4 linked regions of the Caenorhabditis elegans genome follow. The protein of the gene in region 4 interacts with the protein of the main gene of each other region in a pairwise test. Each region holds a gene or a part of one and is shown on either strand. Other genes may lie near its edges.

The links.
Region 1: the proteins of vab-23 (region 4) and prp-21 interact in a two-hybrid assay, tested with the Caenorhabditis elegans proteins (one large-scale study listed by BioGRID).
Region 2: the proteins of vab-23 (region 4) and nhr-10 interact in a two-hybrid assay, tested with the Caenorhabditis elegans proteins (one large-scale study listed by BioGRID).
Region 3: the proteins of vab-23 (region 4) and eif-3.D interact in a two-hybrid assay, tested with the Caenorhabditis elegans proteins (one large-scale study listed by BioGRID).

The regions. Positions count from the first base shown.
Region 1 is NC_003280.10:482,955-490,897, reverse strand, and holds prp-21 (uncharacterized protein), read right to left. Parts: upstream 6,033-7,943; 5' UTR 6,030-6,032; coding exon 5,924-6,029; intron 5,794-5,923; coding exon 5,505-5,793; intron 5,419-5,504; coding exon 5,259-5,418; intron 5,037-5,258; coding exon 4,667-5,036; intron 3,886-4,666; coding exon 3,606-3,885; intron 3,131-3,605; coding exon 2,946-3,130; intron 2,481-2,945; coding exon 2,275-2,480; intron 2,017-2,274; exon of another isoform or gene 1,934-2,016; intron 1,419-1,933; coding exon 1,221-1,418; intron 793-1,220; coding exon 619-792; 3' UTR 495-618; downstream 1-494. Other genes in the region: gldi-1 (NLE domain-containing protein), read left to right, coding at 6,520-6,656, 6,704-6,797, 6,849-6,924, 6,968-7,244, 7,796-7,943.
Region 2 is NC_003281.10:7,111,779-7,117,442, forward strand, and holds nhr-10 (Nuclear hormone receptor family member nhr-10), read right to left. Parts: upstream 3,661-5,664; 5' UTR 3,657-3,660; coding exon 3,544-3,656; intron 2,929-3,543; coding exon 2,849-2,928; intron 2,804-2,848; coding exon 2,637-2,803; intron 2,154-2,636; coding exon 1,980-2,153; intron 1,935-1,979; coding exon 1,797-1,934; intron 1,442-1,796; coding exon 1,071-1,441; intron 1,016-1,070; coding exon 871-1,015; 3' UTR 517-870; downstream 1-516. Other genes in the region: B0280.7 (uncharacterized protein), read right to left, coding at 1-63. UniProt on the Caenorhabditis elegans protein: Probable transcription factor that acts in a feed-forward loop with nhr-68 to activate genes involved in the vitamin B12-independent breakdown of the short-chain fatty acid propionate.
Region 3 is NC_003281.10:8,969,099-8,973,307, forward strand, and holds eif-3.D (Eukaryotic translation initiation factor 3 subunit D), read right to left. Parts: upstream 2,481-4,209; 5' UTR 2,479-2,480; coding exon 2,297-2,478; intron 2,251-2,296; coding exon 1,291-2,250; intron 1,244-1,290; coding exon 815-1,243; intron 773-814; coding exon 631-772; 3' UTR 537-630; downstream 1-536. Other genes in the region: Putative RNA polymerase II subunit B1 CTD phosphatase rpap-2, read left to right, coding at 1-136, 181-330, 382-529; R08D7.4 (Complex1_LYR_dom domain-containing protein), read left to right, coding at 3,123-3,536, 3,590-3,890, 3,962-4,063.
Region 4 is NC_003280.10:11,896,860-11,902,851, forward strand, and holds vab-23 (C4H2-type domain-containing protein), read right to left. Parts: upstream 4,352-5,992; 5' UTR 4,337-4,351; coding exon 4,254-4,336; intron 2,145-4,253; coding exon of another isoform or gene 2,134-2,144; coding exon 1,974-2,133; intron 1,790-1,973; coding exon 1,605-1,789; intron 1,480-1,604; coding exon 1,257-1,479; coding exon of another isoform or gene 1,236-1,256; exon of another isoform or gene 705-1,235; coding exon 594-704; 3' UTR 506-593; downstream 1-505.

The sequences.
Region 1 (7,943 bases), about 11 Mb from region 4:
CAATTTTCAGATTGTGCAAAAAATGTTTTGTTTTTACTGAAAACGCAATTTTTTTCTGTTTTTCTAGTATTTTTTGTTCTGAAAATGTCCTGTAACAAGTAAAATTTAAAAAATCTGGATATCTGAACAAAATAAACAAAAAAATTCGAATTTATTATTTGAACCAAGAAAAATCAAGAATTTGTCTGAAAATGCCGGACTTTAAGATTTTCATATCGATTTTTTAGAATTTTCATATTAATTTTTGATTTCAGCACTCCAGTTTACCCCTAAACATCAATTTTCAGCCCAAAACTCTTCAGTGTAGTAAGATTTGGTGTTTTGGGGTACTGTAGTCGATGTTTGCGTATTTTTGGTGCTACAGTAACCCAATTTTCTGAAATTTAAGGCTAAAAGCCGGAGAAAAAGTGTCCCGGGGTAATTTGACATGCTGAATCTGAATTTTGTATAGCCATGTCTGAACTTTTAGATTTTCCACTCCAAATTTACAGAACGGTTTTTTTACAAATTTATTGGAAGAAAAGTTGAGATTTGAAGAATTAAAATTGGCGTCCAATTTTAGAATAAAGTTTGAAAGAAAATAAATATTAATAAGAGTAATAAATAATCGATAGCTCATCACTTCTTTTTTCCTCCACGCTCCTTCACTTGCAGATAAATCGCCGTCCGATCTGCCAAATTGTAGAAGGCCGAGCTCATATTATCCTTCACGAAAAGGCCATCAGACATCAGCTTCTGCTTTCCAACAGGCATTCCGTAACGATCCTGGATTTGTTGTTTGAGTTCGGACATCTGCAAAAATTATGAATTAATTGGGCATCAGGTGGTTCCCAATGGGCCATTCAACAAACAAATATTTTTGCATAAATACCTATCTTTTTGGAACTCTCTTGCCAAGTTGTTCAGTAAACCAGTGTCAGCCGAAACGTTTACCAAACGTATTTGTTCCCTGCCCCTTGACACTATGATGTGATCTCACTTATAGTTTTTTTTCCCCCATCAAAGCTTCTGTAAATAAGTCTTTCATACCCCCACCCTCATTTGGCCACGGACCTTTGTCCAATCGGTCATCTTATATTTGTTCGCCTCTTACCTATTCTTTATGTTTATTATCAACTTACTATTCAAATGGTTTAAAAGCGAATAAATAAATAAATAAATAAATAAAGGTGAAAAAATTCGTTCAGGGGAAAAAAACAATTTTCTTATCTAAAACTCACCGGTGCAGTAACTTGAATTGTAAACTGCACAATTGAGCCATCCATTCCGTGTTCGGGAGCCTGTGGAAGATGAACATTAAGCGAAATTGCTCCGTTGACCTTTTTAAGCCAATCAGCTTCTGGTATCAAATCATCTTCGGTACGAGGACGCTTCGCTGGAGGTCCACCGCCAAAGTCCATTTGTCGGATTGGAGGAAGCTGGAATTATAGAGCTTTATGCATTTTATTGGAGCTTTTCATGAGAATTTCCAGTGAAAATGGGAATTTCTGTGTCCGTTTGAGATGAAATTTACATTTAAAAAAATTTAATTTTGTGGAAATTTCAGTAATTTTAATCTTAACACAGTTTCCAGTTAATTCCGCCGAAAAATCGTCTAATTACGCGGTTAAAGATAACTTTTGGTGGCGTTTTCACTATTTTTCAACAAAAATATAGTTTCAGCTAACCTGGTGTAGCTTTTTCTTATTTTTTTTTAAACAGAAATACACAAAAAACCACTTCTTTATATTTTTCGAAAGAAATACAATATCTCTCTGAAATCAGCAAAAATTCGCGATTTTTAACCAATTTTAACTAATTTTAAAATGGGTCTGCTTGACTACAAACTACAAACTCGATTTAGCAGACCCAAGGGATTTTGAAGAGATTGGGTCTGCTAGACTACAAACTACAACTTTCGATTTAGCAGACCCAAGGGATTTTGAAGAGATTGGGTCTGCTTGACTACAAACTACAAACTCGATTTAGCAGACCCAAGTTGTTGTGAAGCGAATGGGTCTGCTAGACTACGAACTACAACTTTCGATTTAGCAGACCCAAGTGAATTGGAATAAATTGGGTCTGCTTGGCTACAAACTACAAACTCGATTTAGCAGACCCAAATTGAAAATGTTAGTTTTCATGTTTAATTTGGGATTTTTCGATTCGTTTTTGCAATACAAAGAGAATTGGTCCAAAAATTGACAATTTTTGTCGAAATATCCGATTTTTCCAGGATTTTACATGAAAAAACGAATTTTTTTTTGGAGATTTTTCAACTCAAAAATCCCATACCGCTTGATTCGGCATCCCAGGCATTCCCATTGGTGGAACCGGCGGCCATCCGGATGGCATTTGTCCAGGAATATTCGTTATTCCTTGAGTAATTGTCACATTTCCCTGGGTCGATTGATGACGTGGCACCTGCTGAGCTCCAATCTTTTCCTTTGATGGATCGGCAACGAATCCGTGTTGACGGTGGATTTCGTTGATTTGTTGGTCTGAAAAATGAAAAATGATTAATTTTTTTGCATAAAAAACACTGAAAAGCGAAATTTCGGTGAGTTTTATGACGGGAAAATTGTAAATTTTTAGCTCAATTTTCAGCCAAAAATTGGAAAATTAAACATAGCTTTTGCATCTCCGGTGGCAACTGTGCTTTATTGCACAAATTGTTGGTTGGAATTTTTGGGAAAACTTGGACTACGGTATATATTGCCCGTTTCAGCCGAGATACCAGATTTTTTTCAGATGGAAAATATCATAAATCCAAAACTTGGCACGGTTTTTGTTAGAGGAAATTGCTTTTTTTTTGAATTACTGGTTTTTCATGAAAACTCGAATTTTTGAAACATTTGAGTGTTTTAGAGAAATTTCTACATAGAAAACCACACAAATCGTGTAATTTTCCCAAACAAAATCCCGGAAAACTCAAAATTTTCGCCAAAAAATTAGATTTCCCGTACCCAAAGTGACTTTATTCTGTACAGCTCGGGTAATCATATCCCGAGTCTCTTCAGTTCCATCCCAAATCAGTTTGTTCTGCCCTTGTTGCGAATTGTCCTCTTCGCCGAGCTTCTTTCCGATCATAGTCTGCTCTCCGCCGACACCGAAGATATCCGTACGACGTTCAGCGAAATTGCCAAGATTTCTGAAAGAAAAAACTGGGGTTTAGTGATATTGGCACGTGGAAAAATGAAAATTCGTCTGAAAATCTATAATTTTCAGCTTTGAACATCTTTTGTGGGCATTTGTAATCGGAAATTTGTCTGAAAATCTTTAATTTTCACTTTTTACAATTTTTAAGACATTTTTATTCCAATTTTAGATTTAGCACTCTAATTTACTCCTGAAAATCGATTTTAGCTCAAAATTCACCACTGTCGTGAAATTTGGTGCTTAGGTGTGCTGTAGTCAGTGTTTGAGTACTTCTGGTGCTACGATAACCCAAATTTTCTGAAATTGAGCTAGAATCTTTCCAGGTCTAATTTGAAGCACTGATCTCAAATTTCGAGCGAAAAATGCGGAAATGAACAAAATTTCCACGAAAAATCGATTTTTTGTAGATTATTGTGGCGATTTTTAGACTTTTGTTCGTTTTTCAAAGAAATTTCTGAAATGTTAACCTAGAAATATCAGCTCCAAGAGCCAATACGGGCTCCTCCGTGCTTCTTTCTCCAATATGACGATCTCTGTCCTCTTTATACTGTGAATCGACAGTATTGTATCTGACGTGCTCGGCGAGCTTATCCGATGGAATACGCTCTCCGGTGAGCGGTGAAATGATCCAGTTCTCCACAGCTTTTGGCTTTTGGGTCACATTTCTCTTCGGATCGTAATCTCGAACAATCACGTCTTTCTGTTTTGTAGGTGGCAGCGGAGCAGTGAATGCAGGGGCTTCTGGTGCTGAAAATATATAAATATACTCATTTTTAATTTAAAAATTTGAAAAATTAAAAAAAAATACTTTTCGTATTTCGGGTGACACGTGTGCTCTATTCCAATAATTGTTGGTCAGAATACGGTAGTTTTTGCACTTTCAGCCGAGAATATCGATATTCATACCATCAATTTGGATAGAAACTCACATGTCCCAAAAATTCATTAGTTTTCCGAGTTAAAATTTGCCAAAGCTAATAAAAAAAAATTGATTTTTTTGGGTCTGCTAGACTACGAACTACAACTTTCGATTTAGCAGACCCAAGTGAATTGGAAGAAATTGGGTCTGCTTGACTACAAACTACAAACTCGATTTAGCAGACCCAAGTAGTTTCTACAGAGAATGGGTCTGCTAGACTACAAACTACACATTTCGATTTAGCAGACCCAAGTTGTTTTGAAGAGCTTGGGTCTGCAAGACTACAAACTACACATTTCGATTTAGCAGACCCAAGTGATTTGGAAGAGAATGGGTCTGCTAGACTACAAACTACAAGTTTTGATTTAGCAGACCCAAAAAATCTTACTTTTTAACTCAAAATTGCGATTTTTGTTCGTTTTCTACGAAATAAAATGTGAATTCGCCTAAAAATTTTAAATATTCCAGGTTGGAAGCACTTAAATTTGAATTTCAGCGTTTTCATAGTTTGCCATTGTTTTCCATCTATTTTAAAAGTAAAACTGTTGGAAAAAACCGGAAAAAAGTGAATTTTGTCTATTTTCAACGTAAAATGCTCCAAAAAAGCACCTTGAACGGCATCTTCGTCATCGGAATCACTCTCTTCCATATCCATTTCCTGCATTTCAGCCGCCGCCTTTTGCATTTCATTTCTCGCTTCCAAAAGAATACGGGCTCCAACGTCCTTTGGTGTGCATAGTGGTGGAAGCTGAGAAGTATCTCCTGGCTGGAAATCTACAGTCTGAACAACTACAAAGTCATGCCAATCGATTGATGCATAGGCTTGACGCTCTTTCTCGGCTTCTGCCTCCTCGCGATCTTTTAGACCTTTTTGATGTTTTTCCCAGGATACACGATAATTGATATCTTCTATGAGACGTTTTTTGTTGGTAGCATCGTCTTGGAGTTGGGCAACTACGTTGGTAGAGGGCACCAGAACCTGAAAACTGATATTTTAGCAACTTTTAGCTTAAAAATTTCAAATAAAAGTTATAAAGCTCACTTTTCCGCCATCTTTAAACTGAAAATAGTGAAAAAGTTATCAAAATGTTTTTTTTTTGAGTTTTCTACCGAAAAAGCTGGATTTTTTTTGAGTTTTCAACCGAAAAATCTAGATTTTTTTAAAAATTCTTAGAAATACGCAGATTTTCTTGATTTTTACCTTCTGATATTGATCAACGAGCTTTGTGAAGTATGTAAAGTTGCAATGAGCCGGTTTCAAAAAGTCGAATTGATAATTTCTGGCTTCTCGTGTCATCAATTGAGTCAGAAATTGACGGCCATTTCGTGCAACGAACAGAGCAACGAGTCGGATCAAATCTCTGCAATTTATAAGGTTTTCACTTCATTTTAGGTTAAAAATAGCTTTTTCATCTAATTTTAGTTCTAGAAGTTCTAAAAAACTTACAAATCATAGGCGTTAATCGTGGATGGATCCGCTGAGAACTCGTAGGCCGGCGGTGGAGCTGAAGGCACAAATTCAGCCTTTTTCACGTGCTCTTTCACTGCTTGCGGTACTTTCGGAGCCTCAACTCGGCCTTCTGAGAAATCGTAGACCATCTTTTTGTAGTAGGCATGGTATGGGTCTGTGATGGAGAGAAAGTTGAATTTCGGGTTTTTCGCCTCCTTTTCGCGGATTTTATTCTCAAAGTCCACTCCATTTTTTGCAGCGAAACGGGCGGTTTTGTCGACGATTGCTGAAAATTGAAAATGTATTGCTTATTTTTGGAAAATATCGATTTGCCCTAGTTTTTGCGGAATTCCGCGTGAAATCTTTCCAAAACCATGCAGAACTGTTTTATTTTTGGTTTAAACTATAAAACTTACTGCGAATATCCGGCGGCGGGTAGATTAATCCAATAATCGCACGCCCTGACAACGAGGGCTCGTTGTTCATCGAGTCCTCCTCGCGGTTTGAGACAACTGCAGTCATTTTCTGCAAATTTATAAGATAAATAATTTGAAAATTCGTAAATTTCGCAAAAAATTCAGGAAAATTAATAATTTAATTAAAAATAGAGAAATAAAGCAATAAACTGAAAAATAAACGTTTTCGAATATTAAGTGGAGGTTACTAGGCCACTACAGAACTCGACCATGACCAAATTCAAATTTTCCCGGTAGGTTTTTATCTATTCTTTATTGTTTTCGACATAGTTTTTACTGCTGTTACGTTAAAAATGTTTTATATTGTGTAAAAACATAACAATCTGTAAAAAATTTACAGTTTTCTCTATACAAATGAATGCTAAAAAGTGATGGCCTAACTTTTTCCACTGTATTTCTTTCTTCGCTCCACTGAGAAAAATAATTTATTTAGCGCAATTTCTTAACGAATTTCTTCGATTTCCAGTTCAATTTCAACGATTTCCCTTGTTATAACTTTCAAAATAATTAAAACTCAAACGGTTTCAGGTAACAAAATGACTGAAAGTCCACAAATCTCGGTCAGCTTCGTGTCAGAGGACGAAAACGAGCTCGGAGGATCGGGAATCCTTGTTCCAGTGGACATCTCCACGAATGAGCTGCAAATTTTGTGTAATCAGCTTCTCGGGAGCAGGTTTTGTTTGAATAATGAATTTTCTGTATCTCATCCTGAGTTTTCAGTGACGATCCTGTGCCGATTTCCTTCTTCACCACAGAAGGCGCTGAAATTGTCGATTCCATTCGAAAATCGTTAGAGGAAATTGATTTTGAGACTGTAAGCCCTTGAAAGAAGATAGAAAACTTTTTAAAAAATTTAAAATTTCAGACATTAAAGCTTGTTTATCAGCCACAAGCAGTGTTCCGTGTGAGACCAGTTACCAGATGCTCCGCTAGCATTCCAGGTAATTTTTTGATCGTTTTGACGCATTTAAATATATTTTTCAGGTCACGGAGAGCCAGTAATCTCTGCTCAGTTCAGCCCTGACGGACGTGGTCTAGCGTCGGGCTCCGGCGATCAAACAATGCGAATCTGGGATATTGAGCTCGAGTTGCCTCTCCACACGTGTAAATCCCATAAAAGTTGGGTTCTCTGCATCGCCTGGTCACCGGATGCTACGAAAATCGCTTCGGCTTGCAAAAACGGAGAAATTTGCATTTGGAACGCGAAAACCGGAGAGCAAATCGGAAAAACGCTCAAAAGGCACAAGCAATGGATCACGAGGTGCAGGAAAATCGCATTTATCACTGAAATGTCTTGAAAATTTGGGTTTTCTACAAAAAATCGCCGTAAAATTGTATTTATCACTACAATGTTCTCTTAAAATTTCCATTAAAACCCCACTGAAACGATGTATTTTTACTGAAACCCTTTTGAAAATCACTATTATTTGGGTTTGCTAAATCGAAATTTCTAGTTTGTAGTCTAGCAGACCCAATCACTTCAAAATCACTTGGGTCTGCTAAATCGAAAGTTGTAGTTTGTAGTCTAGCAGACCCAAACTTCTTCAAAACCACTTGGGTCTGCTAAATCGAAATTTGTAATTTGTAGTCTAGCAGACCCATTTCGAATTCCAATAATTTGGGTATTTTAAATCGAATTTTTAATATTTTCTATGAGTTTACTTATCATCCATAGTGGAAAAATGTGATTTTTAACAGAAAGCTTCAGAAAACCCGAGTTTTTCTCTCAAATATTAGCCAAAAATTAATTTTTCAACATAAAAACTAAACATTTCCATTTCAAATCGAATTTTTATAATAAAATTTTTGCAGTTTGGCATGGCAACCGATGCACAAAGACCCGACGTGCAGGCTTCTGGCTTCTTGTGGAAAAGACGGAAATATTTTCATTTGGGATACCGTACAGGGTACTGTAGTTCGCTGTTTGAGTGGACACACTGCTTCGGTCACCTGTCTGCGT
Region 2 (5,664 bases), on a different chromosome or scaffold from region 4:
TGCTGCAGAATCAGCATATTGCAGACAAATTACAGCTAGAATTGCAGCACCAAGGTTTTTCATAATATGATGTTTTTCGAAATAAATATTCCAATATAGCATCTCATTTCAATTGGTCATTTTATACCGTGTGTGGTCTGTAGTCTCTTGTTTGTCAACACTATTTCTTGTAGAGGTGTTGCTTTACGAACTGTTTAGACAGCTTTCAGTGCAGTGGTCAGTTAAAATAATTAAATGAAAAACAGCAGGATGTTATTATACAAATGAAAAAATCTATTTATACATGTTTACGAATTCAAAAATGCAATTCAAACGTAAATATTAACCAACATGTGTGTTTTTAGATAAAAATTTGAAATTTTGGCAATTCAGATCTATTCACAATTTCAATCCGAGATTTTATGTACTTTAATGAGTTTTTTTGTAAATTTTTCGTATTTTCCGTTTTCGGCAGTCCGCAAAATTGTTGGTTTAATGTCAATATCTGAAATCTTGATTATTCAATCAAAAAAACACTTTTAGAAATTCGAAGTATTTATATATGAATTCAATTTTTAAAAACCACAAATCGGTATATTGCAAATCACAATGGAAAATAATCGGAAATTTGGCGAATTAAAAAAATAACTTGAGGTGTAGAAGATGAACATTTTCTAGATGATGATGAAAGATTTTGACCCGTTGGCAACAATAAATTCATGGTGTGATTAGAATTAATATGAGTTGGAAATAAAATATCACTGATTTGTAAAACGGTAAGGCACAGTTGATGGATATCGACAAAATGTAGAGAAAGAGTTATTACCAGATATGGGAATGAAATTATACTTATGGATACGCTATGACGATAATGGAAACTGTTTCCATAACCTATTCAGTCTTGATTCCAAACAAAAGTTGTTTGGCAAACGTCGAAAATTGGATTTGATCAAAGAAATCAGCAACAAGAACTGCTTCTTTCATTTCAACAGCCATTGTGGCGAGGACAGTACCGAGAAGAAGAAGACGTCCGAATCTGGAAATATTTGAATTTTAGTTTATGAAGCAATAGAACTTGAGAAAAAACAAACCTATCCCCAGCATCTTCTGCTCCTTTTTTCTTGACCATATACCGATAAAGAGCATTTGTAATTGCACTTCTTCCATCACTCAACGTCTTTTTTGCATTCGAATCAACATCATCAGCGTCTGGATTCAAAAAGAAAATTGCTTTGAATGCAGCAAATTCAGTCATGTCAATTTCCATTGATCTCATTGGTTTCAACAATTGATCAAGCATTTGATACTTCTTTTTGTTGAATCCAAGAGGACGAGTTGGTTCAGGTGTTCTGTCAAAATAGGCACCGTCTGGGAAGACAATCGTGTCAAGACCATGATCTGGAGAATTGAATACATGAACCAATGATGGATATGTGATGGCTGAATGTCGAAGAAGAGCAAGCTGAAAGAATAAATTAGGCTTACATTAGTGAAAATTAACAAAAAAAATAGATTGGCAATTTAAATCTAAAATCAATATTCTATAGCTCGAGCTGCAGAAAATCAGCTGCCCGATCATTAGGCAAAAAAGTGCATTGTGTAAAAGTGTAAAAATTTTCGCATATTCCAAGACCTGATGCCGGAATTTTTAGTCAAAATTTAAACATCACACGAACAGGTTGCAATAATTTAAAATTTCTTAATGCCCACATTTTCCAGATTTTCCAGACTTTAAATCTAGGATTCCACTAGAAACCTTCTTCTCATAAGTTTTGAAACTTTTTATGACGCTTTAAAGTCCTCACAACTACGCGTACCTTATCCGTGAATGGAAGTGATTGGAAAACTGGCAACGTCTTTGCCCATTCGATCATCACAAACCAGTCTCGTTCGTGCCAATAATGATAATCTGATTGATTTGCAAACCTGAGGGATGTTACTCGGTGTCGCGGTGACTGAAATTATTTCATTTTTAAGTGACTTCCAGCTAATTCACTAACCAAAATAGCGTGTTCAGCCATAAAAACTTCATCTGTAAGTAAACAATCTGATACAACTGCTTCTATTAGGGTTCTTGATGGCATATATTCTGCAAGTCTGAGTGCACAACACTTTTGTTCCGTTGATGATAATAACGTTAGGAAATTGTCTTCACTGCGATCATTTTCAGATACCTGCAAATTAAATTTATATATTAGCTTTATGTATAGACATGTGTAATTGAATTTTTTGTTTAGAATATCAGGTGAAATTATATTCTCTAGTTTCCTTGGAATTTGCATACTCTAGAGGATCAAGCACCAAAATTACTTTTCATGATTTGTGTTTAGCGTAGAAAATATAGTTGTTGAAAAGTAGTTGAAAAGTTAAATTTAATTTTTTAGTATTTTAATATATCAAAAAGGTGGGTAGTTCTGTTGGTTACTCCACCTTCGAAATAAAATCTTTTGGATTGTTTTATCGTGATTTTATTTATTTTTATTTTATTTTAATAGTAATTGAGACAAATTCCTAGAGACACTGCTTGAAAAAATAATGTTATTCGTTTTTAGACAAAATTAAAGTGTTACATGTTTTTACTATAATAAAAATTATACATAAAACTGAAACCCATAAATACTTAATGGCTCAATCGTTTCTATTTTTGAAAAATTTACCATAGCAGGTGAGCACTCATCACTGGCTTCAACTTTTTTAATTGGTGGATATCTTCGTGTTCTTTTTGTATATCCAATTGGATCTCTGTTCTGTTGAATTGCATTTCGATCCATTCCAACTTGTAAACATTTCTCAAATCGACAATGCCTACACGCACATCTGATACCTGAATTAGAGAGTTAAATCTACGATTTAGAATCATCAAACCAACTTTTATCAACTGGACATTTTCCTTGAAATTGGCAGCTAAACGTTTGGTTTTTCATGATTGTTCGACGGAAGAAGGTTTTGCTGAAAAATTATAAAGTTTAATCCGATTTTTTTTGTATTTTCCATTTTTCTTTAGTTAATTTCCATATTCCTAGCACCAGGTACATGTCCCTCTCGGACACTAAAAATGAAACTCTCCTACTTTCCTGCCTACAATAAAACCAATGCTTAAGGACTTGCCTACGATGGAAGCCAAAAATATATAAATTTGAACCTTTTAAGGTTCTACGTTTCCAATTCATTGATTCACCATATCCGTGCAAAATGCAAACACTTTTTTTATTCATAGGTTTTTCCCGAGATCCCCCAAAAACAAAAAAAAAGTTTATGCCTTGTGCCATAATTCGTTTTAATAAACTACGTTTCTTTCTGCGAAACATTAGAGTCTGATTATGACTTTGCAATCTCAACTTACAAATTCAGTTAAGCTTCTTGATTTTTGATAGAAATTGGATTTTAGTTTTCTTGGAAAAAAATCGTTGATTAAACGGAATGAGAATTCGCGGAAAACAAATAGCTAATTTTGCAGAAGTTGAATTCATTTAATTTCATGAGTTTTTGGTTTAAAGTTTAGAATCTCTTTAATTATTTTTTATTTAAGGGTTTAGAACAACAACAAAAAAACGAAAAACAAACCATCCATTACATGAGGGAACTCCATAATGATAACCAGTTGATATATCGGAACAAACCAAGCATACCTCTTCAGGTTGAGACGAGTTATTTGATGACGGACCTCCACCCGTCATTTGGCTGAAATTAAGACAAGATTTCTAGAAAAATAAGAAAGAAGTACATGCAAAGTACGAGGAAACTGGAAATGGAATGGATTGAGATGCAATGGATTAAAAATGAATAACGATTCCGTAGAAAGATAGTTTCTACAAAATCTCACTTTTCTCTGAGCTTCCTTCCTTGTTATTCAAGAAATATTAAAATAATAACGAGTGTTCAAAAATCCATGATTTCTCAAAGAATTCGCAAAGTTTTATAAGAGAATATCAAAGAGTAGGAAGATTAGAAAATAATAATCCGTCGCTGAAAAACACCACACTAAATCTAACTCCGAAGTATTACATTCAAAGTACAACATGTTATTCAAAATATTATGATTTAGGGAATTTTTAAAATTCTAATTTTTCATCAAACAAATTGACAAAGTTCAACATAGTTTCCAAAACAGTTCGAAATTTTATATTTTCAGCCAAAATTTCTTTAAGGTACTTTTTAAAAATTAATTCAAAAAATTTTAAGTGAACTTTTTTAATGCGATTTCAAGCTAAACCCAGTAGGCTTTGAATAGATTATGTTGCAATTTCGTGACAAATTTTATAAGTTTCTCATAAATAAGACAACGAGAAAAATGGACAAAAAATTGCTAAGTAGTTGTAAAGTTTTTCTCGTGCCAGGACTCAAAACAGTGATTCTCGTATAAAATATATTATAAAGTTTCATAAATGTTGCATTTTAAAATTCAATTTTAAGTAAACATTGAAAAAAAAAGTAATAATTCTAACCGCTAATTCTTCTATGGATTGTTCAATATAGCGCATTGCTAAAAAATTTCCAATAAAAAAAAACAAAATTTTGTAATTTTATAGCGACAAATACTGTCTGCCAACCAACTCTATCTTCAGTCTCTCCACACCTTTCACCACAAAAAAAACGATAACAAATCTCGTGATGACGTCGTTTTTATGTTTCGTTTCTCTGCGTATCTGAACTTTTTCTAAGTTTCAGATTACGAACGAGACAAATTATTTGCCTTAATTGAGATATCTCATAAGATTTAAGATTAGAAAGAATAAAATTTATTAATTAAATTGAAAGTGCTGAAGAAAGTATCACATTCTAGATCAAAAACATATTGTTATTTGGAAAAGGATACAATCAGATTCAAATTGTTGGAAAGTAGCAAGACATAGTATCTGAACGCATTGCACATATTCCCATGACTATTCTATTTTTGTCTCTGAACTTTGAATATGATCATTGAAACAGAATGTGAAATGAAATATTACATGAAATGGGTAGACATAAAGGACAAATAGAAAAGGTGAAAGAGACCGAAAAGTGGAAGGGTAACCACGGGGACAGCACAGAGACAGAGGGAAGAGAGTTGGTCTCGAGTGATGAGAGAGTTAGAAGGGCAAGAGACGACAGAGAAAAGATTGAGTTGATGAGAGAGAGAGACAGACATAGATATATTATTACAGATTTTAAATTGAGACGCAGAGATAGTTGGCATAGGGAAGAGACAAGATAGTGGAAAAAAGGTAGCAATTAATTATTAGATATTTCAACAACAGAAAGCTCACTAGCGGCGGGGATAGACATAATATTAGAAAACAGAAATATTCACACACACACACACACACACATACACACACACACATACACACACAAATGATCAAAAAAGATGTAAATGTAAAGGTGGTGTAGTCGAATTTTTATTTCTTTATTAGACTCAAAATTGTCTGAAAACGCCGAATTTCATGATGAAACTTCTTGAAAACTTTTCAAAAAAAAAGTTATGCCCTCTTGAAATTTTTTTTTTAAATTCAAGTTTTTATCAATTTGTTCTGTAAATCTATCAAATAGATGCTTGAACAGATGGTAGGTTCTCTAATCTGGAAATTTAATTTTTATAAATCATTGATCAAGCCCTGATATTATATTCAGTTGTTTTCTATAGAATAAAATATGTTTGATCTTTTCGTGCTCGCTGCAAAATATATTAAAAACTACCAATTTATC
Region 3 (4,209 bases), on a different chromosome or scaffold from region 4:
CTGCTGAGCAAATTTTGATGGATTTTTTGTCCGGTAAAAAGGTGGACGCGGAGAAATTGGTCAATTTGCCGAATCTTGATAAGTACAATGTGAAAGAGAAGAGATTGAATATTTTCCTGCATTCTATTAGGAATCAGTGAGTTTATCTAGCAATTTTAAATATTAATTTTGAAATTACAGCTGGATGGATTTGGAAGCACGTTTACATTTAACTCCAACTCGTCGTGATATTCTCAGTCGAGTAGCTTCGACATTCCAACTCGATTCGGAAAATATCACTGGCTGGACAAAGAGAGAAATTAATTCTATCGTTATTGCTCTTTTCATTGTGTAAGTTCTAAAAAATGCATAATTAAAAAATTTCAAAATGTTGAAATTTAGGATTTGCCTCGTCGATGTTGAGCTTGGAGACGACTACTTCAAGAAGGACAACGCTTCTCCAGAACTTACTGCGATTTCCAATGAACTATGCGGGCTTGATTCTTTCCAAATTACCGGTTTGCACGCTGCGATTAAATCCCAATGTTGAATGATATTTTGAATAAAGTTTATCTTATCAGAACCAAGTTTAATTAACAAGAGACAATAATTAGAAAAGCGAATACAAGAAATTGTCAGAAACCGGGGACTTTATTGATCGTCATCCGAGTTCTCCTCGTCGGAGCTCTCGCGCTCGCTTTCGAAAGTTCCTTCTGGAAGCGAATAAAGGCGGATAACCGGAGATTGTGGATCCTTCATCAACAAGTACTTTCCTGGTTTTTGCTTCATACAACTGGAAAAAATTGATTACCAGTCTGGATGTGCTCGTTCTTACCTGTCAATGACGCATCTAAGAATTCCCCAGCAGTTATCCATGTTCAAGGCGATGTTGCTAGCAAACTCCGTTGGCTTTACGTATTGGGTGAGTAGAATAGAATGATTTTGTGTGCTGCGTGCATTGTTACGAGACACATATCCGAGCTTCATTGTGTCGGAACCGGCAAGAAGTGCTTGCAGAGTCCACTTTGCAACCTTAGCTGAGTTGTTCTTGATTTCGGTGGCCATTACGGCTCCCTTTTGAACATCAAGCTTTGTTCTCCAGTCGACACCTCCAGATTGTGTGCTATCCCATTCGTTGAATGCCTTGATTGTAAGAGTCTGAGTCTCATTTCCGAGTCCGTGAATAACTCCATCCAATTCTGTACGGCAAACCAACTCAACTGGTTTTCCATCAACTCCGTTTCCAAGATTCCACTTACGGTATCTAAAAATTGTTTAATTAAAGATCAAAATTTTAAACGAAAATCCTACTTGTAAGCAGTTCCTGACTCTCCAGTCTCCTCGTCTTCGAATGGAGCACGAGCATTCTTGAAGGTGAATCCTGCGTCGTTTCTCTTGACGACTTGACGACGGAAGTTTTGGTTAATGTAGAATGCCTCGGTCGCAAGATCCTTGGCATTGTTGATACCATTTCCGTCGAATGATGGTGGTTCGGCACTAGTCTCGGAAACAGTAAGGGTCTCAACTGGATTCAAAATATCTCTAGTGTTTCTCTTATCGAAGAAAAGTTTGTCTCCGACTCTGTAGGCAACAATGTCCCACGAGTAGACCGAACGAGGAGCAGTCATCAAAGTAGCAAGAATTATGTCTGTTCCGAAAACATTTCCAGCACCACCTTGAGCAAGTTCTTGAATTACAGGATCTTCCGTTGTGGTGACATTGTAGAACACGCCAGCGCATCTTTGAAGCGGAATAGAATTTTTCACAGAAACGCGATCAATAGTCTTGTCATAGTATTGAAGACTTCCATACTGGTGATCCCCAATGTCGTCTCCTCCTGGGATGTTAGGAAGAGCAAGTTTGGAAAACGCACTAAGATTCATTTCTTCAAGAACAACCCATTCCGGTCTAACTTGAACAGATGGAAGACGTTCCTTCGGCCGATCACCTCCGAATCGACCACCTTGTCCGCGTTGTCCTTGACGAGCATTTCCTCCACGACGTTGCCACATCTTGAAGGCACGTTGTTGCTCCTTGGCGATACTTCTCTTCATTCTCAAATTCGTTGACTGGTTCACCATCTCACGCTTCTCATTTTCTTTCTGCATCATCTTACGAAGATGCATTTGGCGGACACGGAAGTTGCGCTGTGGATTGCGAGCCATTGGTTTAGAAGTGTCAACAAGTTGGAAGTTATGCTCATCCATTCCATGAATGTAATCGAACTGACTTCCAGCGTTGGCGGCGGATCCATAGACACGCTCATTGTATCTAAATTTCAAGTTTTAACGATACCACTCATTTGTTGTATAAAAACCTCTCATTTCCTCTTCTATAGAATCTATCAACACCAATCCAGTCGGCAACACGTCCGATGCGATCAGCCTTGTTGAATTGTTGGAATGGAACAGGCTCATCAGCAGAGGAACTCGACGCCAATGGACCCCATCCGACTGTATTATCAGCCAATGACAACAGTTCAAACTTTGGTAGAGCCATACCTGAAATAAATATAAAATAGTGTTGAAATGCAATTTTAGGCCAAACGATAGCAACGACAAAAGAAATGGAAATGGAACAATAACATTCGAGAGCATTTAAAATATAGTTACAAGACTTTCATGAATTTATATAATTCACAAAACAGAAAAATTAATCAGAAAATCGTATAAAAATGTGAAAAATCCGACAAGAACGCGTGTAAAAATAAAAATGTTTAATCGAGAAATGCGCAAGGTACACGAAACGCGCCAACATTCGCCACTTGACGCCACCTCAATTTTTGGTTTTTATTTGTTTTCTCCAAATTTCCTCGCATAATCAGAATATAATTCCAGAAACGGGTCCACCTTGATGAATACAGTGCCACAAAGTATTCGAGTCATTCAGCTCTATCGACAGATTTTAAAATTGGGCAAGAATTGGAAAGCAAAAGAAGAAACAAATACTGTAGTTGAGAGACAACAAATTATCACTGAAGCTCGTCAGGCTTTCCGAGAGCACCAGCAGGTATTCTCGTTCTCAATATTGATGTGGAAACTAATTATATGGGATTTTTCAGGAAAAAGACCCAATAGTGATTGGCAAACTAATCTATCAAGCGGAGCAGCGAATCGTTCAAGCAGAACACTACGGAATTCCACATGCAAGACCCGAATACCTTCCTCCTGATACCGCTTATTCAGTCAGAACGAAAACGCAAAATTTTCACAAAATGTCAAGAAAACGGAGAACTGAGCGGGATGGTCCACTCAGAAAAGGAGACAACTGAACTCCAGTTCAAAAGATTTTATTGTAGCGCTTCAAAAATTCCGGATCAGCTAATGAAGGATATTGTAGAACAATGCATAAAAGATTCGGAATATGCTGAGAATCTTTGCAACAATGTCTTCAATAATGAAATTGTCACATCGCATGAAATTCGTTACAAATTTCAAATAAATGTTCTTAAAAACTTGATTTCTGAACTTCAAGCCAATAATGTTGTTGTTCCTGATTCAATGTTCGACAGGCTTGGTTCTCTAATGGGAATGAAAGAAGGAGAATATGTGGAAAGAGTAAGTTTTTAAACAATTCGTCAGCTCAAATGGAAATAATTTCATATTTTCAGGTTTACCTAACCGATGGAGGCGACAAAGTTCTAGCGAAATTCTCGGAAGCTGTAAATCAACTATCAATGGGTACAACTGGCTTATCAGTTTGGCAAGCTTCTTGTGATCTCGCCAATCTTTTTCGCTTGATTCCCTCCGAGTACAATCGAATATTAGAACTCGGGTCAGGATGTGGTGTTAGTGGAATTGCAATTGCAAAAATGAATGATTGTTGTGTGACGCTCACTGATTATGATGATAATGTGCTGAATCTTTTAGAAGAGAATATTGCGAAAAACGATCTGAAGAGTGATACTGAAGGTATTTTTTGAGAAATAAAATCGACTCCTTCCGTATTTCAAATTTAAAAATATTTAGAATCTAAATTGTAGATTCGTCAGCCAACAACAATCAAGCAACAGTTCGCTCACTCAATTGGTGTGATTTTGATTTCTCTGAATGGAAGGAACCCACGGATTTGATTATCGCGGCCGGTAGGTTTTGCTAATACTTTTATTTGTTAAATTCTTTGTTTTTCTATATGATATTCGTGTGAAACGAAACCCTTCAAATAACAGCTTCAGGCACTCATTATCCAAGTCTTCTCATTTCTCTGTGTCTCTCTTCTCTTTCACGTCTC
Region 4 (5,992 bases):
GTCAAAGCCGTGTTTTTCAATGGGGGTTTTTTTAAAGTAAGAAAATGATATAAAAATCATGAATTGAAATTTTTAGAACTTCTCAATTTTCGATGAGTCTAGAACATTTTCAAATTAGGCCATTACTTTTTGAAAATTAATTTTGAATAGTTTTTTTAATATTTCGTTTTTAAATATTCCAAAAAATTTCAAAGTAAGAAAAATCTTAAATGTTGTATTTTTTAATATTTCTGGACCCGGTGGGACCTCAAAAAAAAAGAAGTTTATTTTAAAAAATCTTCTAGACTCAAATTTTTGGAGCAAAATTTTGATCCCATATACACTCCGCAGCTGGAAAACAAGACACAACTATTGTAGAATGAGTTTCATCATTTTGCAACTCGATTGACATATCTAAAGGACGTGGTACTCAAGGACCTGTCAATTGACATTCTCATCACCTATTCTATGTTTATATACTCATCATTTAGATGGCTTTCCCAAAACATATCAAAAAATTGGAAATAATGTACATTAATATTCATTTATGTCTTCAGGGAGATCACAAAGTAATTGCAAAAAATAATTTTTAAAAAATGGTAGAAAAATAATCTTCAAGCGTCCTTTCTCTTTGGTTTTTTTGGATTCTTGCTCCGGCTTTTGCTCTTACACATTGGGCATATTGGAGCATTTCGGTGAATTTGTTGGTAGCAGGATTGGCAAGTCTGAAACGAGAATTTTTGTTGGGGAAAATGTTGGGGAAAACTATACAGGGTCTGGAGCAATACTACAATAAAGTTGGTTGTACCAAGGGTGAGGGGCAATCTTCGTTCGGCAATTTTTTTTAGACAAATTCGGCAAATCGGCAAATTGCCGGTTTGCCGATTTTCCGGATATTTCTCATGCCGTCAATTCGCCGGTTTGCCGATTTGCCGGAAATTTCAATTCCGGCAATTCGCCGATTTGCCGGAAAAATCATTTCTCATGTACTACCGTTTTGTCATATGTTTAAAACGTCTCCAGTTGAAATAATTTTGTCTATATATTTGCACAGCAACTTTCTATAGAATACCTCTTTTTCTACAGTACACGTAGGAACACCCTAATATTTTTATTTTATTTCACATTAACCATAGTTTTTATACATAGTGTATCTCAACTTCTATAATAACCATTTTTCCAAAATAACTAATATTTTTACAATAATACCAGTTTTTACAATTTCCTAACTACGCAACCTACAGTAACCCAATCTACTACAAAAAGTTCTTAACTACCTTCATTGGCGGTGACTGGTGATCGGTGACTTTAAGTTGATGATGCTGCATGGCTGCAGCCATATGCGGTGGTGGCCTGAACTGTGGGGTCGGTGAATTTGTCGAAAAACTGCCAAGCTGTTCAAGTAGCATTGGTTGGAACAAATTTCGGAAGTTGAAGTTTGGAAATGGAGATGGAAGACCGCCGGATAGAACCGGAGTGACTGGAGCTGCTGGGGGTTCACTGAAATATAATAACATGATTCTTTTAATCTGGTGCCTGTAATACTTTAGAAAAGTTCATATTTGAAGTTTTCACTTTACTGTAGAAGAAATTCTGACTCTAGCTCCTCAAGAAAAAAAACCTACATTTTCAAATGAGTCTGTGGTAGATCATCTTGGCTCAAAGCAATATCACATCCAGTTTCCTTAAGCTTCTCATTTGTGGACTCAATTAATTTCAGCAGTGCTTCGTATCTTTTAACAATTTTGCTCTCTCGATCTTTTTTCTCCGTCTCTGCCGCAGCAATTTCCCGTTCCAAATCGCTTTTGTCCTGAAAAAGTTGTGTGTTGCACTGTTCTTTGCAGATTTGTTGTAGAGGCGGCAAAATTTATCTATCAATGCTTAAAAAAATATATTCCTATGAGCTTGTAGATTTTTAGATTTCTAGAAAAAAGTTGACAGCTTGTCAAAGTTTGCAAGCTCTCAAAAATTATTTTTAAAAAACTATTTCTTACCTGGTTTATCAACTGAATAATCTCCGAATGCTCTTCCTTCTCTTTATTCAACTCGTCAATAGTCTTGGCAGTTTCCTTGATAAACTTTTCAGTATTCTCCAGCTCGCTGAGCTCCTCGAGCAACTCATTTCGTTTTGCAAAGTAGTCATCGACTTTTGTTCTGGAAATCATGCTTTGCTTTACTGTGGAAGCTTAAATTTTTTGAATATATTAATTAGAAATTAACTGTAGAAAAAACCAGATTAAATTTTTTGTCAGTGTAAAATTTTTCGGAAAAACCGAGGACAACAAGTGCTGGCTTCAATGTTTGAATCAGGGGTGGGCGGCAATTTCCGTTCGGAAATTTTTTTTGTCGACAAATTCAGCAAATCGGCAAAAAGCCAGGTTTGCCGATTTGCCGGTTATTAGTTTGCCGGAAATGTTCAGAGGATTTTTTTATAAGACGGAAACACTGCCTTTTTGAAAATTTCTTCCCGTTTTCTTTAGATATTTTCATAGAATTTTTACTTTTCAAAATAGATGTAGGAACATTCATAGGATACGTACAATTTTGCCGATTAAAATTAAAATTCTGAAATTTCAAAAAATGTTGTGCAAAACCACAATTTGCCGAAATTACAATTGGCGAACCTTTTCTAATCTATTTAAATATCGATTTCCAAAAATGTCACGATAAAATATCGCATTTAAAAAGTTTTCCCAAACCATTTCTGCTACATTCCCATCCCAAGCCCCCTTCACTCAACTCTACACGGTGAATTGAAGCGGCACAAAATTCGAAATTGAGGCGAGAAGATGGTCATAAAGTCACGCTTGGATAGCAAAAGGACATGATGGAAAGAGAGATGGCTTTTAATCAGGCACACCACAACCACACAAACATGACAAACACCGGATGTGAATTGTATGTATGTATGTGTGTGTGTGGGTATCTTCATGTAAGCAAATATTGTATACTAGAAGGTGTTTGGGGAGTACTGTAGAAGCGTGAATGTTTTAGATACCCCCTTATCATGCTCAAAGTTTTTATTTTTTAAATTAAGAATTTGAAATTTAATTGAAAGAGTCAGCCAACCAATTAGCGACGCGCAAGGGGTGTAGTCAAAGTTGCTGATTGGTGGGAGCCCGAAGACCCCACTCCCACAATAAAGCTCATCCCCATAATATAAAACTACTACAAGTAACCTTAAAAAGCCTACCGACACTTGTGTACACCTGGCGGCTCTTTTCTCAAGTGCTACTACCAAATCATCTCAATTTCCTATATTTTTATGCTAATTCCCTAATTCCTTCTTCTATGTGTGTGGGGGATTACGGTATGATGTTACGCAAAAGGTCGCAACAAATCCAATTAGCCTCTGTGTTTTTTTTCCTGTAAGGACATTTCCGTGTGGAGGAAGGCGCGAAATCACTTTGAAGTGACCGACTAGTACATACTTAAAAAGTTATGCAAGAAGGGGAGTGACCTTTGGCGCGGGGAACTTCAAAAAATTGCCGCGCTTACGGGTTACATGATTTTTAGTGAAGCCTAGCCTAAAAGTTGGCTGGAACTTGATGTGCGAGATATCGCACTCTTTGCCCTTCCGCCAGGACAGATATTGTTTATTGTCTGATTGATATCGCAATATTGAGCTTTGTTATTATTTAGAATCCTCCCACGACATTCTTTTGTTATCTTATTGTTTCTCCGCCTACATTTATTGTATTTAAGCCGCTTCCTCTGAGGGATCGGTATGCATCTTATAATAGAGGGCTTCACCCCAGCCACCCTCCAATCCGAACATGGTGCAAACTTTGACCAATTTCTCTTAAAGCAAGGTTATCAAGAACCTCAAGCAAATAGCAAAAAGTGTTGTCAAAGTTTTAGTACATATATTAAAGGTACATGTGGGTTTTGCAACGAAAAAAAAAAACTACTTTCAAAGTTGATATAATAGTTTTTGATTCAGATTTTAAAAATCCTGGAAACCCCTTTTTAATTCAAATATAATTTACCGTATGTCACTGTCGTTCTTTAATACATAACTTTTATCTTGGCTGTTTTTGGTGGTATCAACAATTGTTCAACAGATAAAATATAGCGAAAAACTTTAAAACAAATTTATCAGTAGGAACTAACTTGATTAAATAGAAGATTATCGAAATATGCACTGTCCAAGTTGAAAAATGATGGCGCAAAACTAATAGAGAAAACACGACGCTGCTGGGCATTTTTACCGTTTTTTTTTAAATCTAGTAGTATTAAATTTTAGTTTGCAGCATTTAAAGACTTGAACTCACTTTGCATTTGCAACTTTATGCAGCTCGCTCATCGACAAGATTGATTCGGCGCCCAAAATCGGCGAAACTGTCGTGGCGGTCATCGATGCGCGTCGAATCTATAAACGGAGATCGTAAAAGTTTTGGAGAAGAAGCACAACGATTGTCAAAAATGGAAGAAAAAAGACAGCAAAAGGAAAGTGTAAAAATTGAAGAGGAAGAACGTATGGGAAACGGAGAAGAGCCGGACGGCAACCAATAAGAATGTGGGCGGGGTCGGATATACATGAGGAGGAAGGATGTAGAGGCTCCTAAATCCATGTAGGAAATGTCAATGGGATTTAAGAATTAACAAGGATTTAGCAAATAACCCCAAAATCATTGTAGAATAGTTCTGTAATCTTATCCACTTTCTTAACTATAACATTAACGTTTATAAATTAATAGTGCCAACAAACAAATAGAAAAGATGCGCTGTCATTTATAGATCTAACCTTTTAACCGGTTACAGAGACCTTTTATCTTGATTTTGACAGGTAGCAGTGAGTTATTATTTTTATTGCACTAATTGAATACACAAATAATAAAGGTGCTAGTTGATTAAATCAATACTCAACATAAATCCTTACTTAGGGACGTAATAATGTTGTTCCTGATATCGCCATGATATCGCCTCTGTCTACCATAGAAGCCCAAGTGACAGATATCATATCGTCATTGTAAAACTGTTGTGAGCCCAATACATTGCTCAATAATCATAAATCCATCTAGTAGATGCCACGTGGCAGATCCTCTATATTTTGGTACTTTTTAGTTTATAAGCAACAGAGCTCAAGGAAGCGGAAAAGCACATGCTAAAAATGGAAAAAATGGCATAGGCTAAAAAAAACTTAGCATCTACAAAACTTAAAATGTATGAAAATATTCATGAGCTAGAACCAAAACCTATTTAGCTAGCTCAAAGTTAAGCCCAGAACATCTAAAAAGGAAACCTACAGAGTTCCAAAACCTTGTTGCTTCTCCCACGTGGCTTTAAGCTTTAAGTTTCAATATCTTATCAACAAGCACTCTCGAAGGATTATGTTACAGTAGGACACATTCGAATCCAAAACTTTCTCCATCTCGTGTTCCTTATCTAAAAGCAGTGTCCTCAAGGTTGTAACCCTTGAAAAGCGAACATGAATGTGATGAAATGTAAATGTGAATGAATTGTGTAAACTCCACCCTCCTTCCGCGAGATATGCAATTAGAGTAAGGCGTCTGCCCTCAAAGTGCTCGTAAATCAATCTAGGCCCATTCCTTCGGACCACTATCAAAACACATCTTATTTCCTCTTCTTACAAGAAGAAGAAATAATCGATCAAATGTTGCGGAGAAGACACTTTTTGTGGGGTGGCGGTATGTGCGTCAAAAGACCCCATCGATCACGTTCAGGTGTCTTAGAGGTGTCATGCGAACACCTGCGTGCTAATTGTGATCGGGATTTGAGGAAGTGCAAGAGGGGAAGTACTTGTTGGTAGAACTGTCAGGATTTGTCAGTTCCTGATGACAGGGAGCTTTTTTTGAAGTGGAGGAAATCTGGGGGAGCTAGATCAGGGGTGCGCAGCAGTTTGGCATGTTCTCTCAATGTTTTCATCAAAATTTTGTGGAAAATATAATATTTGCTCAGTCTGAAAATTATCTTCAAATGACTTGGAACAACATAGATCTAGGGCATTTCTATATAGAAATGCTCGAAAATTGTCTGAAAGTTAGATGAA